2 separate regions of the Mus musculus genome follow, and region 1 is reported to be linked to region 2. The links are microRNA targets in miRTarBase. Many come from high-throughput screens and were not tested one by one. Region 2 holds a microRNA gene; the other region holds the end of a gene's coding sequence.
What was found. Region 2 holds the annotated microRNA mmu-miR-3074-2-3p (UGUUUCAGCUCAGUAGGCAC, at 5,017-5,036, opposite strand). A microRNA usually pairs through its seed, bases 2 to 8, with sites in the 3' UTR of a target mRNA and lowers its output. Matches are read on the target gene's strand: a 7mer-m8 pairs with bases 2 to 8, a 7mer-A1 pairs with bases 2 to 7 and ends in A, and an 8mer does both.

Region 1: the mRNA of Ttyh1 is a reported target of mmu-miR-3074-2-3p. Seed matches in the 3' UTR shown: 7mer-A1 at 4,706-4,712.

The regions. Positions count from the first base shown.
Region 1 is chr7:4,130,290-4,139,460 of GRCm38, forward strand. It overlaps Ttyh1 (tweety family member 1), which reads left to right. Exons shown (of 14, transcript NM_021324.6): 8 at 292-347; 9 at 508-600; 10 at 1,002-1,094; 11 at 2,786-2,928; 12 at 3,068-3,113; 13 at 3,374-3,449; 14 at 3,577-5,118. The coding sequence ends at 3,412. It overlaps D030047H15Rik (RIKEN cDNA D030047H15 gene), which reads right to left and starts at 6,637. Exons shown (of 3, transcript NR_033548.1): 1 at 6,272-6,637; 2 at 2,117-2,302. It overlaps Leng8 (leukocyte receptor cluster (LRC) member 8), which reads left to right and starts at 7,191. Exons shown (of 16, transcript NM_001374609.1): 1 at 7,191-7,330; 2 at 8,407-8,499; 3 at 9,130-9,171. The coding sequence starts at 8,462.
Region 2 is chr8:84,203,823-84,212,993 of GRCm38, forward strand. It overlaps Mir3074-2 (microRNA 3074-2), which reads right to left and starts at 5,085; the gene lies at 5,003-5,085. It overlaps Zswim4 (zinc finger SWIM-type containing 4), which reads right to left. Exons shown (of 14, transcript NM_172503.3): 14 at 7,120-8,983. The coding sequence ends at 8,124. Mir23a (microRNA 23a) reads left to right here and starts at 4,696; the gene lies at 4,696-4,770. It overlaps Mir27a (microRNA 27a), which reads left to right and starts at 4,850; the gene lies at 4,850-4,936. It also overlaps Mir24-2.

The DNA.
Region 1 (9,171 bases), not on the chromosome of region 2:
ATACATGAGACTGTCTCAAAACATCCTCCTCCTCAAGGAGAGGAGGAGGGATGGAAAGGAAAAGGGAGAGGGAAGAGGAGGACGGGAGAGAGGAGGGGAGAAAGGGAGGGAGGGAGGAGAGGAAGGAAGGGGAACAGAAGGAGGGAGAGAGAAAGGAACGAGGGGGAAGAGAGGGAGGAAAAGAAATGGATGGGAGAGTGGAATGTCCCCCGGGCTTTGGCCCTCCAGATTTGCCCAGGGAGAGCCTGGGTCCAGGGTTATAGCCTGCTCCTTTCTCTCCCTCCACTTCAGACATCCTCAGCTATTATTTCCTGTGCAACCAGGCGGTCTCCAACCCCTTCCAACAGGTTAGGAATGTGGGCAAAAGACATGGGTGTTGAGGAGATGGCTAATGTGGACTCTCAAGGGCGTATGCTGGGCTACCAGGGGCTCCAGGGTTCCATGGGGGGTGGAGGGTGCCAAGGCCACACCTTGACCCGAGTCCTCCTTTCTCTTATCTTCCTGCAGAGGCTGACGCTGTCCCAGCGTGCTCTAGCCAGCATCCACTCTCAGCTGCAGGGCCTGGAGCGGGAAGCTATCCCTCAATTTTCTGCTGCACAGGTTAGGTCAATGAACTGCACCAGCCTGAGAGGAAAAAGGGCCGAACCTGATGAACCTGTGGGATGCCGCCTCCACTCATGTAAAGGGGCAGATTGACTGAGTCAGATAGCCTTGTGGAGCTGGCCCTTCTCCAAGTAGGCGGGATTTCACGTTGTGTGCAAATCTATGGAAAGGGGTGAGGCAATAGAGCCGAGCTGGTCTCTGGGAGAGAGCCTACAGGAAGGGGTTGCAGCAAGAAAAATCCACATTTCTCTTGGTGCTGGGCCAACAGTGGAGGTGAGAGGCTCTAGGGTGTGACTAAGGGCTGGTCCCTTTGGGAAGTGGGGTCCTTGGGTTGAGGGGGGGGGGCTATTTTACTGGGTCGCATAAAGACTGGTTAACTGTGTCCTCTCCCACTACAGAAGCCCTTGTTATCCTTGGAGGAGACACTGAATGTGACAGAAAGAAGCTTCCACCAGTTGGTGGCGCTGCTGCACTGCCGCAGTCTGCACAAGGTAAGCTCTGGGTGTTTGCCAACCCTGTCTCTTTCTCCCCCTCCCCTTTGCTTTCTCTTCTCTTCCCCCTCCTCTCTTTCTCATACTCTCTCTCCCCCCTCCCGCCTTTGTCCCCCCCCCTCCCACCCCACCCCGTGTTCTTCATCTTCCACCCTCTCCTCTCGTAGAAAGCTGCTCAGCCTCTCAAGCCCTGGAATGAGAACCCAGGCAGCCCCCAGTTCCCTAGATTGAAAACTAGTCCAGATATCTCTTGCTATGAAAGGGGCAGGAAAAGGCGAGGGCGGCGGCAGGGCAGCCTGTGAGCCTACCGTGGGCTCAGCTGTGGTCTGTATGGCCCCGGGAGCAAGCCAGCATCTCTGACTGTTGTAAAGACTCTCACCCTTACAACACCGGGACTCCACCTGACCACTTTCCCTGGTTACATACCGTCTCCCACCATGATACTCTCCATGCACACAGGCTTTGCTATGATCCTGGCTCTACAGGATTCACTGGACACTGACCCCTCCATAACAAGATCAGTCAGTAGAGCATGAGACTCTTAATCTCAGGGTCGTGGGTTCGTGCCCCTATGTTGTGGGAAATATTAAAAAAATGAACCCACCACCCTTCCAGCCCTGCTGAACTGCCCTTCTATCTCCCTATCCTCACTTCCCACTGCATCGACTGCTCATACAGCCAACACTGCATCGGGCCCTAGCCCTTCTCACCTCTCACATGCATGCCCATCTTGCTCATTCCATCTGTCCAATAACAGCTGGTGATCCTTTCTGCACACAATCGGATCAGAGTCTTCATTTAAAACCCTTCCATGAGTCCCTCTCCACATGGATTAAAGCCGGGCTCGTGGCACTGACCTAGTAGGAACCTGTGTAGACAGCCTCGGCCTTGGTGTTTCTACTCCACATCAGGCCAACTACGTGCCTCTGACTAGAGCTGACCATCTGCCTGTCTCCTAGTGTTCTTCTCGCAAGGTCTCTGCTGGACAGTAGCCTAACATTTCCTGTCCTACAAGCTCTCACCTCTCCAAAGTGGCTGCCTGGGTCCCATGCATTGAAGGTTGCCAGTGCTGGTGGCATGCCCGGAGCAAAGGCAGATTAGTCCATCCTGGTAGAATATTGGCTGTGACACTTGGCATTCAGGTTACAGAGGTTCTGCTGGCCTCCAGAATGGTGGTCACAATAGCCGGTCCTTTCTGCATGTCTCTCCTATGGATGCCCAAACCTAAGTGTTATGTAAGCCAGCAATCTGTGGGACCCAGGGGGCATCTGACAATGTGTGGGGATGTGACTGTCACAAGTGCAGAAACAGATGCTGCTGGCATCCCCACCAGTCAATAGCACGTGGGTAGAACAAGGATAGGCAGGGTTGTTGCCAGTGGGAATGACAGCGTAGAGGCTTGCCCACTGAAGATGCTGGGAGAGCAGCTCTCTAGATGCTGAGTGGAGATGCTAGGCCACTTTGCATATGGGAGTGGGGAACTGAGATAAAATAGGAGTGGGTTGGAAGGCTGCAGCTCAGCAAAGGCACAAGCTGAACACATAGATGACTTTCCATGTTCAGAACAGCTCCCTGACAAGAGACTACACTTGCGCACAGAGAGTCTGGGTGACAGCCAGGTAAATGGATGGTTGGACCTGTGTATGAAGTGTACATGTGCATACCCTGAGCCTCCTCACCCTCTGCCTCAGGACTATGGCTCAGCACTCCGAGGCCTGTGTGAAGATGCCCTAGAGGGCCTACTGTTCCTGATGCTCTTTTCTCTCCTGTCTGCGGGGGCCCTAGCCACCACTCTGTGCAGCCTGCCCCGCGCCTGGGCCCTCTTCCCACCCAGGTCAGCAGGGGAGAGAGGGCAGGCTCCCCAGGGAGGGGACAGGAGGCAGTACCCAGGGCCACTGGTGGGGATGGGGCAGCCTCCTGACTCGTTTCCATCCTGCTTCTCTGCCACTCCCCACATCCCCATCACACTTCAGTGATGACTACGATGACACAGATGACGATGACCCTTTCAACCCTCAGGTATCCTGGTGTGAAGGGAGGAGGCCTGGGGCCTGAGCTCCTGGGTCTCTTGGAAGGGGAAATGAGTATTGCATTCTCGGGTCTGAGAAGAAGAGAAATGAGACTGGACCTCTGGGTCTGAGGTCCTAGGGGAACAGGGATGAGTCTTGGCCATGAGGGAGGAGGCTGGGGTCTGGAAGCCTGGGCCCGAGGGAGGAGAGAAGGGCCCCCACGTACACAACAGATTCTGAGTGTCTTTCCTGCCCTGGTTATCCTGCCAGGAATCCAAACGCTTTGTGCAGTGGCAGTCTTCCATCTGAGCCTCCCCTCCAGTCTGGAGCCTGCCTCTCCTCTATGGTAACCTTCAATGTGTACAGTTGGGTCTTGGCTCTCCCCTACAGTAGTTGTAGCTCTCTTATGTTGGGTGGATGTCCATGGGAGGGTCTCCAGTGAATATCAGCTCTTCATTTCTCCCTCTCTCTAGCTCCTTTCCTGGCTGCTGGAGAAGGCCCCACTAACCTGACCTTGACTGGGCTCTGACCACTAACACTGCTGGCTATGGACATCTCACTTAGGATGGCAACCTGCTCTGGCCCTAACACCCACCCCCCCATCCCCATTTCTCCTTAGCACAGGGGATTGCTGAGGTGGCACAACAGGGACCAGGGGTGGCTGGGAAGGGGGCTGACCTATACAGCCTGGTGTTCCTCACCTCTGGCTGCCAGTCCTGTCCTTGGAGGGATGAAGCTGGAGGCAGGTACAGGCACGTCCCTGTTTCCTGCCATACCCCAGCGATCTCAACCTATGGCACTAACTTGGAAGAGGGCTGATTTGAAATAAAAGGGAAGGCTTTATTTTACAAGCAGCTAGGTCCTTCTTATCCACCCCAACTACTGAGAGAAGGAAGTCCTGACTGGGCTAGGGACACTCCTCCTCTGGTGGTTGAAAGGCAACTCTCCTCTTGTCCAGGCTCAGCACTGCATTGCTTCTATAAGTAACATGTGAATCCTGACAAGGGGGAAGAAGCAGATACCGGAAGAGAATAAGCCTAGCACTAAATCTAAACAGGCGTGCAGCCACAGGAACAGTCAAGCTTCCAGTCCCGTGGAATGTACAAAGCCTGCTGGGTTTAGGAAAGGCGTGGAATCAACTTGCTTCCTAGCAGCTCACACCCAGCACAAGACTCCAGAAAACCAACGCTTGTATCAGAATAGGGACAGAAGTCTTCGAAGAGAAAGTAGAATATTTGCTTGTAGTGCCACCAGGGTGATATGAAGGGGGAAGGTTTAAGGAAGATATTATAAATCCAGGCAGGAAAAGATGAGGCACTCAATAAGTTATCAAGTAAAAACAAACATGGCAGAGTCAAAAGGGAAATTTATTGTCTGGGGAACAATATGTATGTAGTTCTCATTTGTTTAAAAAACAAATAGCATACATGGCAAAGAAAAACGTGGTTAATACATAAACATAATTCAAAAAGCTTCTATTATCTAACAAAAAAGACCTCAATTTAATAATAAGTAACTGAGAAAAACAAAAACCCCAAAACAAATGGATAAAATTGTCTTTTTTGTCTTTGTTGTTGTTGTTTTGGAGACAGGGTTTCTCTGTGAAACAGCCCTGGGCTGTCCTGGAACTCTCTTTGTAGACCAGGCTGGCCTTGAACTCACAGAGAAGAGCCTGCCTCAGCCTCTGCCTCCCTAGTGAGGAGATTAACGGCGTGTGACGGCGTGTATCACCACACCCAACTAAAGTGTTCAAATTCTAATGATTAGCAAACACAATGTGCTACTTTCCCCTTTCGAGTACCTATTTGTTGTGGGATTTAGAGTGGAGTGTGGGCTGGTGCTGGTCTGGAGGCCCAGGGAACAGGTTCTCTAAATATGCTGCCCAGAGACTGTGAATCACCAGCTATGTGAAAATAATAATAAACAAAACAAATAAACAAACATAAATATGCTTACATGTGAGAGGATAAAAACTGCATCTCTTATCCTGGTAATCCTTTGAGGGACCAGCTTCCAGAAAGAAATAAACAAGCAACCCCTGGCTCAGTTAAACGCTGGAGACAAAACTAATCTGCCACAGTGGGACTCTTCCCAAAGACCAGCAGCTCTGTAGGGGAGATGGCAGAGCAGGGTCCTCAAGTGACTACAGAAGCACCAGGGGTATCCCTGGTTCTTGCACAATGCTGGTTTGGATTCCTATGGGTCCTAGTCCTGGCACCTCAGTGTTAATGTAAGCAAGTTATTTGACTCACTGAACCTCTTTTTTTGGTTTTTCAAGACAGGGTTTCTCTGTGTAGCCCTGGCTGTCCTGGAACTCACTCTGTAGACAAGGCTGGCCTCGAACTCAGAAACCCACCTGCCTCTTCCTCCCAAGTGCTGGGATTAAAGGCGTGGGCCACCACTGCCCAGTTTTTTTTTTTTTTTTTTTGTTGTTGTTGTTGTTGTTTTGGTTTGGTTTAGTTTGGTTTGGCTTTTTGTTTTGTTTTTTTGAACCTCAGTTGTGTGGTAAAGCAAATGGGCATCATAAACCCAATAAACAGCTCTTGACAGGATGGGTAAAAAAGCAAGACAAATGCAACATGATGCTCTGGGTTACGCTATGGCGCACCGGAAACATTAGTGAGAAAAAGCGCCCACATCTGCGGCTTAGTTCAGAATATTAGAGCAATGTCAATTTCTTACTTTTAACAAATGAATTTGAGGTGTGGAATCTAGCAATAGGGGAAACTGGGCATAGTGTGCCCAATTCCTGTATTACTTTTGTAATTTCTGTAAACTTAAAATTTATTCTAAAATAAAAGTTCATTATAAAAAAGAGATGGGAAGAAACCTACCAAGCTAACACTAGCAAATGATACAGAGTTATCCAAGTGTTGTTTAATTACCAAAAGTTGCTTGTACAATGTGAGACTGGAAACTGGTCAATTGATGAACAATAATTGATAAGAAGGTAGTCTTATCAATTATTTTAACGGGAGATCCCAAGTTGGGCTGCATAATTCAATCACTCCTACTGTAAACAGTGAGCTTTAAGTGGCGGCCCACACCTTAATCCCATTAAGAGGGAGGCGGGTTTCTGAGTTCCAGGGCCATCCTGATCCTAAAAGATACAGTTCTGCTAGCTGCCACTCCGAGCAGATCTCACCATCCCAACACCCTACAAGGTACCTTTCCAGCGTCACAGTCCAGTGGCTACTCCCATTCCTCAAGCGACGCGTTTCCCGCTTCCTTTGGTTCGCACTCGCTGTTCCCTACGCCAGGTGCGCCTTTCCAATTTTACTCACTAAATAAACCTTCCAAGGGAGGATTCACCTTATCCCATTTCCCTCCACCCGCTTATATATTCATTTATTTTAAATCGTCCTAGCGCAGTGCGCAGCCTCACAACTCCTGTCCCTATGCGTTACATCTGAGAGACTATTGACTGCTGAGTCAAAACTAAGCTGTTGTGAGCGCGCACGAGAGGCTGGGAGGTACTTGTCCCCACGGGGCCACCGTCTAGGGCCAGCTTCCGGCTTGCTGACAAACGCCAACACGCGACTGCGTTCGCGAGACGTGTGGTGGGCGGTTCAAGCCGAGCGGTGACGTCTATTGGCTGTGCGCGACACAGGGCGGGGACAGACGTCCGGGTAACGTCATCACGCCACGGTCAGGACGTTCGAGCCCCAGACTAGAGCCAGCCGGTGACTGAGCGCTGTCTTGGTTGTCTTGAAGCTGCCTTGGACCGCCGGTAACGAGTCCCGGGAGCGAGCGGTCCTAGTGAGTGTGGGTAGTAGTGGGAGGCCTGGCGGGCGAGCACAGGGACGCCTTCGGGCTCCGCGCTCCGCGAGCCCTGGCCTGTTTGGTAAGGCCAACCGACGCCGCGCCCTGCGTCTTTGAAGGGTGTGGCCGCCGGAGCGCCTCTGCGCATGCGCGCCGGGTGTACGCTGGGGGGGGGAGGGGGCGGCTCCCCTACGTGCGCGTGCGCGTCCGCGTCCGCTCTGCTACTGGCCCTGGGAACCCTGCGGTCCCTAGTGCCCTAGACGCACCCCTTGCGGGCTCCATTGACCCGCTGTTACGCTGGCCTTCCTGTTGCCTAGGGCAACCCAGAGAGGCCACCCTCGCAGCGTGGTGCGCAAGCGCGGCCCGGCCGGTGGCTGGTCGCGGGGGACAAGGGAGGTCGCTTGTGTTCAGGGCGGCCTCAACCTCCACCTAGCGTCGTGGACTCCATGCCTGCGGGACAGCCAGGTGCTTCTGAGCTTACAGTCCGTGTTGTTCTCGTCTGTAAATCAGACCCCTTACTCCTAATACCAGTTACGAACACGAGGCTCTCTTTTGTGCATCCCTAGTTAGGACCCCTTGATACCACCCAACGGATTGGGTTTTTTAAAGGCCTTTGAGACCTGTCAGTGCCCCTTAGGCTTCCTATAAGGGTTTCAGTTTCTCCAATAGGCTTCTTTTCTGTAAATCCTGTTGTTTGGACCGCTCCAGCCCTGTTGGCACGGTGCTCAACCCATCCTATTTCTTATGGTACTATCCACCCCACCCCTAATAGTTTAAGAATGTTGTGGGCCTCTGTTATCTGCAGACACCTTACTTGAGTAATTGCCACTTGTTTGCTCCCAAACCAACTCCCACTCCTAGGAACATCCCATACAAGTCTGGAGACTGTAATTGATCTGAGTCTGGTAGGTGCTGCCAGGCAGTGACTTCACAGGAAGGAGTCTCCTGCACCTTCACCTGGCTGCTCAGCGGGATATCCATACTTTACCTTTTTCTTTGAAAACTTTGCTCTATTCTCCAGTGTTCTCCCAGTCTCAATTCCTTCCTCCTCAGAGTATCCCCAAAGGCTTCCCTCTCCCCAAACTTCTTTGTAGCTAGTACTTCAGTCACTGGAGAGCCTTCCTCTTGCTGTAGTAGAAGTATCTTTAGATTTCCTATCCAGGACTGAGGTTTCTGCATCCACCACTTGAGTCAGGTCTCCCTCACAGCCACACTCGTAATGCAAGTCTCAGCTTCTTTGTCTTTCATTTTCATATCCTACAGGCTAGTCTCGGCCTCCAAGGGAGGTGTTTCCTTTCATGCTCAGGTCTCTTCACTCCACACTAGGAACTGATTCTGATTCTTTAAGCTGTTTGTTTTTGAGACAGGACTGTAACTTGTAGCCCAGATGGGTATTGGAACTCCCAAAAGATTGCTGGCATTATGGTCATGAGCCACCACACTTGCTTTCCTTTCCATTCTTTGCCAGTGTTCCCTTCTATGAGATACCCTCTCTTTCTAGCCTATCTTCTCTTGGGGCTAATTGATCTCTTTTCTTATAGACATTTAAAAAGCAGCCTGGCTCCCGAGGTCTATTCCCTACACCCCAAGGTCCAGATGGCGGCCAACGTGGGTGATCAGCGTGCTGCAGACTGGTTAGTAGGGCTAAGGGAACACAGCCCATTGCAAGAGGAACAAGACACAACGGGTCCTTGCACAGCTTGGGGGAAAAATGCTCATTGTGGGGGCTAGGATGGAGGGGCAAGCTTCCCCTTTGAGCTTTCCTTTAATGTATGTGAGCTTATGTGGGTGTGAGTGAGTGTGTGTCACCCATGTTCGTCAAGGTCAGAAGAAGCCTCAGATCCCTTGGAGCTGGAGTTAGAGGTGGCTCTGAGCCATCCGACATGGGTGCTGGGAACAGAGCTTAGTGATATCTGCAAGACTGCTAAATGTTCTTAAGCACTGAGCCACCTCTCCAGCCCCCTCTTAATATCTTTCTGATCCTTCCCTTTTCTTTTTTTAAATTTTTTTTTCATTGTTGGCCATGTCAGAATTCACTGGCTTGTAAAAAACCTGAGTTCTCCTAAAGTCGTAGGTCATGTATAGAATTATGTACATACTGGTTAGCTTTCTGTTTGCTTGGCACATGCTATGTGCCACCTTCAGCTTGGGCTGTGGTGAGTAGGGAGTTTAGCTCTAGAATGCAAGCCTTGGGTTTACTTTTCCCCAACTTTGTCTACCTGTGTATAGATAGGGGAGACCATAACTGTGCTTCGTTGTTGCAGGTCTTCTCAGTACAGCATGGTGACTGGGAACAGCAGAGAAAA
Region 2 (9,171 bases):
TATTTGAGGATCAGGGTTGGGGACGACCGGAGGGCCTCTGCCCTGGTTCTTTCTTGGGGTTCACTGTGGGTCCTCCAGGGATGCCGAGGGCTTGAAGGCTGTGTGTGCTAATTTAACTGACTGGGATACCACAGCCCAAGGCCCCCCGCCCTGTTTCTCAAGCCCTCCAGCTCCAGGACTTCTGTCCCTTTGAGTCTCCCTGTGAGACTAAGAGTCAGTACAGGGTGTCCCAGCTCCTGGACACCTGCGTGGTAATGCCCCCTCCACGCCAGACACAGACCTCTGGTGTGTGTGAGGATGGGAGTGGCCTTGGCTGCAGCCTTGGGCTCTTTGTAGGGGAAACCCCACAGGAAACCAGCCTGGCCAAATGGCCGCCCTTCCCGTTCTGGTCCCTGGGACGAATATGCTGTCTCACTTCCGGAGGTGATTGGGGAGGCTGGTCAGCCTGTGGACCTGGGCTGCCCCCAGAACCCAAAGAGACAGAGGTGGATTGGGGCTGGAGACTGTGTGTGTGTGTGTGTGTGTGTGTGTGTAAGCACGCGTACTGGGGAAGACACATCAGAATATCTCAATCCTTATTCCTCATTCCTCAGACATCGGTGATGCCAGATCTAGACGTTAAATCCACTGTCCTGCCTGTCACTGCCTGATATGACTGAATGCTTCTGTCCTTGATGTCACCCAGGAACTCTTCCAATTATTGGGAAGTAGAGATTTTCTTTTTTTTTAAGACTTATTTTTTTACTTTTGTGTATGTGTTGGGTATGTGCATGTATGTGTAGGTGCCTAAAGGGTCCAGAAGAGGGCGCCACATGTGAGCCGGGAAACCAAATTCAGGTTCTCAGAAAGCAATATGCAGTCTAAACTATTGAGTCATCTTTCCAGCCCTGAACTTGTTTTCTTTTTTTTTTTTTAAGATTTATTATTATATGTAAGTACGCTGTAGCTGTCTTTAGACACTCCAGAAGAGGGTGTTAGATCTCATTACGGATGGTTGTGAGCTACCATGTGGTGGCTAGGATTTGAACTCAGGACCTTCGGAAGGGCAGTCAGTGCTCTTACCCGCTGAGCCATCTCTCTAGCCCTAAACTTATCTTTTTTAGAGTCTCATGTATCCCAGGTTGCCCTCCAGCTTGCTCTGTAGACACATTTCTTGTTTTTATTTTTATTTTGTTTTTCCTAGACAGGCTTTCTCTGTGTAGTCCTGGCTGTCCTGGAACTTCCTCTGTAGACCAGGCTGGCCTTAAACTTCCTGAGACATACCTGCTAATGCCTGCGGAGTGCTGGGAACATGTGTATAAACCACCACACTTCCTTGATATGGTACTGGGGGTGAAGCCAAGCCCAGTCAGTGTGCTAGGCCAGCAGCTGCCATTGAGCCTTACCCCTTGTTGCTTTTTTTTTTTTTAATTAAAAATTATTTCACCGGGTGTGGTGGCGCACACCTTTAATCCTAGCACTTGGGAGGCAGAAACAGGTGGATTTCTGAGTTCGAGGGCAGCCTGGTCTACAAAGTGAGTGCCAAGGACAGCCAGGGCTATAGCCATGGCTACACAAAGAAACCCTGTCTCAAAAAAACAAAACCAAACCAAAACAACAATTATTTCCGTGTGCAGATGTTTTGTCTGCATGTATGTCTGCAGAGTTCAGAAAAAAGTGTCAGGATCCCTAGAACTAAAGTTGGAGATAGTTGTTAGCCACTATGTAGGTGCTGGATATTGAACCTGGAACCCCCGGAAGAGCAGCAAGTGCTGAGCCATCTCTAGCCCTTTCTTTTTGAGACACACCATGTCTTGGTAGCCCAGGCTGGCTTCTAAATTGAGATCTTTTTACCCCTGTCCTAGATATAGGGATTACACGTCTGCAGTCTGCTGTCATGTCACATCATCTCGAGCTCTGAAATGATTCATTTTTGCTTTCTTGCAGACAGAGACTTTGCCACAGAGCACGTGTGTTCTTTGCCCATAGTCAGCCAGCAAAGAAGCTGCATAGCTCACATGCAGGCTGACGAGCTCCAGAACTGAGTGTCCCGTAGCCAAAACCCTTTCCTTCCCTTTCCTCCCCCTCCCCCTTTAAAAAGGGCCTCATATGTAGACCAGGCTGGCCTCAAACTCATATATATCTTCCTGCTTCTGTCTCTTCCTAGCTGGGATCACAGGTATGCACCACTGTAGGGCTTATATAAGACCTGGCCCTGGTGCATGGCATGAAAATTCTACTCTCCTCCCTTTTGTGTGTGTGTGTGTGTGTGTGTGTGTGTGTGTGTGTGTACAGAGTGCAATGTCAAGTGTAGTTTCTCAGGATTGTGTGTGTCTGATGTCCTAAAAGGTGGGAGACATAGAATCTCCTGTAACTGGAGTTACAGATGGTTGTGAGCCACTGTGTAGGTGCAGGGAACTCAACCCAGGTCCTCTGAAAGAGCAACAAATGCTCTTAACCACTGAGCCATCTCTCTAGCTCCAACCTTGTTTTCTCAGAGAAGGTGTCTTACTGGGACATGGAGCTGGTGAGGCGGGCTGGTGGTGAGCCCTAGAGCATCTTGTGGCTTCCCTTCCCCAGCTCTGGAATTACAAGTGTGAATTGCCATACCTGGGGACAACACAAGCCCTTTTGCTTACATGGTGACCACTTTATTGATTGACCTATCACTGAAGACCCTGATGTTTTTTTTTTTTTTTTTAAGATTTATTTATTTATTATATGTAAGTACACTGTAGCTGTCTTCAGACACTCCAGAAGAGGGAGTCAGATCTCGTTACAGATGGTTTTGAGCCACCATGTGGTTGCTGGGATTTGAACTCCGGACCTTCGGAAGAGCAGTCGGGTGCTCTTACCAACTGAGCCATCTCACCAGCCCGACCCTGATGTTTTATAAAGAAGACGTGTGTGTGTGTGTGTGTGTGTGTGTGTGTGTGTGTGTGTGTGTGTTGTCTGGTCTTTGTGCATGACAGTGCAGTACACTCAGAGACCAGAAGAGGGAGTGAAATCCCCAGAAGCTGGAGTTACAGGTAGTTGTGACAGGTGCTGAGATCCAAACTCGGGCCCTCTGCAAGAGCAGTAGCCACTCTTAACCACTGAGTCAGCTCTTTATCTGAAACAAGGTCACTTGTGTCACTATGTAGCCCTGGATGGTCTGAAACTCCCTACACAGACCAAGCTGGCCTTGAACTCTTAGAGATAGTACTGTCCAAGGCCTGGTTCTTGCTTTCCTTTGCCTTTCAAGTGCTGGGACTAACAGTGTGCACCACCATTCTTAAGTTTATTTTTATTGTCTGTTTGTGAATGTTTGCTTACGCGTACGTCTGTGCACCATATGTATGCCTGGTACCCACAGGGGCCAGTGGGGAGCGTTGGAGCTCTTGGGAATGGAGCTATAGATAGCTGTGCTTGTCATGTAGGTTCTGGGAAAGAAACCTGTCATCTCTCCAACATTGAAATTCTTTAAACAATTTTTAAAAATTGTGTGTGTGTGTTCCCAAGTGCAGAGATCAGAGGACAACTTGCAAGGGTCCGTATGCTTTTCTTCTTCGTGGTTCTTGGGTTTGAGCTCAGGGCATTGGGCTCCATAGCAGCTCTGCTCACTTGCTGGATCAGCTTGCTGGCCCCTGAAAACTTTAACTGGCACGCAGGACACTACTCTACATTGGGTAGGCCCCAAATTTTGTGGCTTGCCCTGGTACTGGGTGCTAAATACCTTCTCTGTAAGTTTTCACTGGCCTTCCTAGTAGAAGGTTTGGGGTTTTGTTGTTTTATTTTTGTTTTTCTTCTATTTAAGACTAGGGTCTCAAACTGTAGCCCAGTTAGGCCTAAAACTCATCATGTAGCTTAAGCAGGCTTTTGACTCCATTCTTGGCAACCTTCCTGCCTCAGTTTCCTCAATGCTGAGATAAACGTGAGCCACCAACTGCAACTGTTGTAGTCTGCTTTACAGATGGGGAAACTGAGGCTTGGAAGGCCTAGGGGAAACTTTACTGAGGTGTTATTGTTGGGGTGCATCGGCCTGCTTCTCCTTGCTTGGGCCCTAGGTGGTGTGGGGTGGGGGTGGGGTTATGTCTGAGCTGGCTGGGGAGGAGAGGGCTGAGGTGGGAGGCCCTGGAGTTTCCTCCTGCCCTTCAGGCTTCTAGGAAGTGGCGCCAGCTGGGGTGAGGTCACTTCCTCCCTCCAACCGTCCACCTCCCTCAGCTTCCTCTCCATGGCCCCATTTGGCCTGCTTTGGGCTCAGGGCTGTGGGTGGGGATAGAAGCAGAGTGGGAAGCAGCTGGGAAGGCTCTGCAGCCCCTTTGGCCTTAGGGCTTCAGGCACCTCCCGCTTTGTAGGGCTGGGGTAGAGGCACTGCTGGGTGCCCAGCATCCAGCAGCCTCGCTCCAACCTTCCTACGGATCGATGCTCCTCTTTTTTGGGAATGCTTCTTCCCTCTTGGAAGTAGAGGAGGGCTAGGGTGTGGATCAGCAAGCTGAGTTTAGATTCTGTCCCCAGCACCACTTAAACTGTGTGTGGTGAGGTGTACCTATAATCCTAGACTCCAGAGGTAGAGGCAGGAAGAACTGGTGCATTCGGAAACCTTGTGTTCAGCTATGTGAGACCCAGCCTGGTCAAGATAGGCAGGCAAGCAAGAATGCTCCAATCTCACTGTCTCTTCTTTCTCTCTTTAGGTGCTACACTCCGCTCCCACCTGCTGCCCCCCTCACTGTGCCTCGGACGGCTGGGGTTCCTGGGGATGGGATTTGATGCCAGTCACAAATCACATTGCCAGGGATTTCCAACTGACCCTGTGCTCTGCCTTGGGGGCTCCTGTCGCCAAGGATGTCTGTCTTGGGTACTGGGTAACAGAGAAGCCTATCATGACAACTGGCCTGAGGAGCAGGGCTTAGCTGCTTGTGAGCAAGGTCCACAGCAAAGTCGTGTTCACAGTGGCTAAGTTCCGCCCCCTGGACCCCATCTCCTCAGGCCGCTGCTGCCCACCCTGCTCTGCCTCCTGGCTGGCAGGGCTCTGCCTCTCTCCGGGCTCCGCCTCCCGTGCCTACTGAGCTGAAACAGTTGATTCCAGTGCACTGGCTCAGTTCAGCAGGAACAGGAGTCCAGCCCCCTAGGAGCTGGCAACCCTGCAGAATGTCTGCCGTGAGCAAGACCTGGAAACAATGGGGTAATTAGTCCAACCTAAGCCCCGTTGTCTGCTGGAGGCTCAGCCTCTAAGCCTGCATCTGGGTGTCCACCTTGAGATTTCTGTGGTTCCCCAAAGCAGATAGATGGGCGGGTAACCCTTGCATTAAAAGCCAGTTATGTCCCCTCAGGGCCTGGAAGCCCTTCTTTTCCTAAGTCTGGTGGGGCTCAGGCACCACCCCTTATACATACCATCTTTGAAGTCAGTTACCCAAGAGGAAGCTGCTTTAGGCCCTCTAACGGTTAAATGCCAACTCTCTGCTTCCGGAAGAAGGCACTGACCTGATCCAGTGTGCCTAGCAATCCCATGGGGTCTGCAGCTTTCTGCTGGTGACAGCGAGGCAGGGAGCGAGGTCCACACAGGCCTCAGGATATGAACAGATCCATGCCCCCCCCCCCCATTGGCCTGTTGAAGTAATCTCCAGGCTTGGAAGTTAAAAAGTTGCCTACTACCCACAAATGAGACTGCATGCAGACTAATTGGAACTGGCTGAGTTACACTTCCCAGACCATACAGTGTCCTCTCCCTACTCTGGGCAGGGGCAAATCGAAGCCTGGGTGGAAGAACAGAGTTGAAAGCTTGTATTGAATGTTGTTCTCCAACTAAATAAAAGCTCCACAGCCTCATTCCGTAAGGGCTGACGTCTCTTCATTCCCGCCTCCCACATGTGTGTTGCTGGCTTTTTTCATTTCTCTTGAAACAGCATTTCTGTGTAGACCAGGCTGACCTTGAATCAAACTCCTCCAGTGTCTGGAGTTTGGGAATACCAGCTGCACCACTATATCTACCACACCCTGGGCTCCTAACCTGCATTGCACCTATCCCCAACCTTGCTCCACCTGCTTCTAGGAAGGTGTAAATATAGTTCTGTGGTCAGTAGGTGCTGCGACCTGAAGATCCTGGGATCCTTTGGGGATGGCTTGAACGGGAGGGATAACCCAGACCTGGGGTGTATGAGACCAATCTGTGGTCACCCCAGTTCCATGAGGGAGTATGTTACAAGAATGTACTCTGCCTATGCTGGGATGCACTGACTGGCAAGATGCCAGGGCTTAAGGACGGGCACATATGCGCGCACAGACAGACACGCGCGCATGCACACACACACACACACACACACACACAGGGCTTAAGGACGGGCACATATGCGAGCACAGACAGACACGCGCGCATGCACACACACACGCACGCGCGCGCGCCCGTCTACACACACACACACACACACACACACACACACACACACGCACGCACGCACGCACGCGCGCGCGCCCGTCTGCGCCAGAAGGGCTAAGGGGCGGATCGCCTCTGATCGGCTCCCTGGAGCAAAGGAACGCACCATGAACTATGGCCACACTCATAGTCACAGCCAGCTCCCATAGTGCCCCACAGAGGCAACACACACACACACACAGCTTCCAAGAGAACGGTCCTAAACAATGACCCTGTCAGACACAGCTAAGGACATAAAGAACCGGAGAATGAGAAGAATGCCCAGGCCGTCCGCTGGATGAATCCATCTAAGAACGGGAGTCTCATCCACAGCCCAAAAATGCAATGGGCAGGTCACTGGGGACACAGGCGTCCCCAGCTGCCCTCCGCACCTGGTGAGACCTCCGGAGCTCCGAATGACGTTGTCTGGAGCCAGACGCCCCCTGGTGGTCATTTCCTGCAATGAAGGACAGTGCAATCTGGGTGCATTTTCCAAAAACCTACAGACTCTAGGTTTGGGCGTTTTAAGCCTCCTGACTTGCAGAGATTATGACATGCAGATGGAAAAGCAGTAAAGCCACCAGCAAGAGGTGGCTCTTCGTGTCACCACGATGCCATGAAGAAACCAGCAGCCTCTCCTGTCCCATTCAAGTTGTGCCCAAAAACCGAGATGGAAAATTTTTTGGTTAATTGAGCAGGTGGTAGGTACCCCTGGCCCCGGGTGTTTGTGTTAGCAATGCAACCCAGTCTTGAAGTTAAAAAGAAGTTGTGTTCAATCTTTTTTTTAAAAAAAAAGGAAAAAAAAAGGAAAAGAATACAGTATGGGGTTCAATAAATAAGAAAAAAAGTTACAAAATGATGCCAACTTTTTCCTTAATATACAAGAGAGAAGACAGGTGCGTCTGGGGTGGAGGCTCTCCCTTCTCTTCCTCCCTGGGCCAAGGCCTGGGATACAGGAAGGCCTGTCAGCAGCTGGGACTTGAGAGAGATGCAGACATGGGGAAACTAAGGGAGTGGGGAAACAAATGGAGGTGCAGAGCAAGAGGAAGACAGAACGGGGTCCCTGGCTGTCTGCCTGTGCCTCCCACAACAGGCTGGAGGGCAGCCTGACTCCTGAGTTGTGTATCCAGTTACTAGTGGTGGGGTCTGGCCAGCAGAGAGCTGTCCCCAGCCTACCCTGTGACCTTGGTGCCCAAGAGAAGACAGGCCCTGGCTTGACAAGGGTATTTGGGGGTGAGGTATGTGGCAGAGGCCCAAGACCTCTTAATATCCTTCAGTGGGGTGAGGCATTTGTGCTGGAAAGCTGGGGCTGGGGGCGCAGGGCAGTGGGACAGGAGCCCTGAGCTGTGGAGAGGGGAGAAACACAGTGGGAAGTAACTACCCTGATGTGAAGTGCCTAGGCTCCGGCCAGCTCCGGCTCTGGAGCATCTGCTGCACTGAGTTGGAGGCCTAACTTCACTCTGGCCCAGCCCTTCTCCTGGAAGTCCCAGCTGACCCTGGGAGTCTGGAAGAGCCAGAGCTTGCTTCTTCCGTGTGAGGTGCCCAGGCACATACTCCCTGCAGGGTCTAGTTAGCAGTATGGCTTCGGATCCTCAGATCGCATGTCCCGTTTGTCTGCACACTCCTAGGCACACACCTGGAATGATGTCACCCTCTGCCTCCCACCTCTGTAACTTTACTGCAAGTAGCCATGGGCCTCCTGTTTGAGGAAGGTGGGCCTGGGACACCCATGCTCCCGGCTTTCTGCAGTTCCTCAGCCAAACCGTTCCCGAACCAACAGCATCAACTTCTTCTTTCCCTTGTACGTCTGTTTCAGGTTTTCTAAGAACTGTGCGAACTGGAGGTGCCCGTCTGGTGCCAGAAGGAAGGTCTCTCGAGCTTTGCCCAGGAACTCAATGAAGTCACCATAGTGGCGTGGGCTAATGTGGGTGAGGCGAGAGTGGCTGGTGGTTATGTACGCGGCTACTGCGGCATCCAGAAGCTGACAAAGTGGTGCCCTGTCAGTCCCTAGTGGTTTGGTAGCCCTGCGGGCCCCCAGTGGGCCCAGCCCGGGTGCTGAGAGTGTCCAGCGTCGCAGGATGTCTGAGAGCATGGGTGCACAGTGGATGCTTCGGATGATGAGAGGGACAATGGCCGACAATTCGTGCCGCCCCAGCGAGTGGCTGAGGGAGCAGGCCCACAGCACATCGTTGACTGCAGGGTGGCTGTCTTGGTTGAAGGCAATGCTGAGTTGTGCCAAGGCTAGCGTGGCCAGCTTGTAGGCCCGCAGAGGCAGGCCTCGATGCTCCATATACCGTGCAACCGTGAAGAGGTGGGCGTGGCCGAGGCCACCGGCTGCAGCGTCCAGCACAATCTGGTAGGCAGCCTCAAAGGCCGCGTGGTTCTTCTCACACAGGGTCAGGGCTGGCAAGGCGCAGTTCTGGGGATCCTTCATGGCGCACTGCAGTGCCAAGGTGCGGGCACAAGCCCAGAGCTCCTCTCGCCCAGCTGTATCTAGCTGCAGTCGCAGCAAAGTGGCATGCGTGGTGCCTGTCACTGCCACTATGGTGACCGCCTCCACTGGGGTGAACAAGGAGTACCAGTTCTTCATGATGCTCATCAGCGCTGGTGGGCCTGGGTGTGGGGAGAGGGCAGAGTGTGTATCTGTGCAGCCAGACCCTGCCCTTTCCCTTCCCACCCTACAACCATTGGCTCTGAATCCTCCCAGCTTCATCAGTTTTTTTGTTTTTTGTTTTTTTTTTGGGGGGGGGTGTATGTGAAGGGGTGCAGTTAATCTCACTCTGCAGCCCCACTTGGCCTCA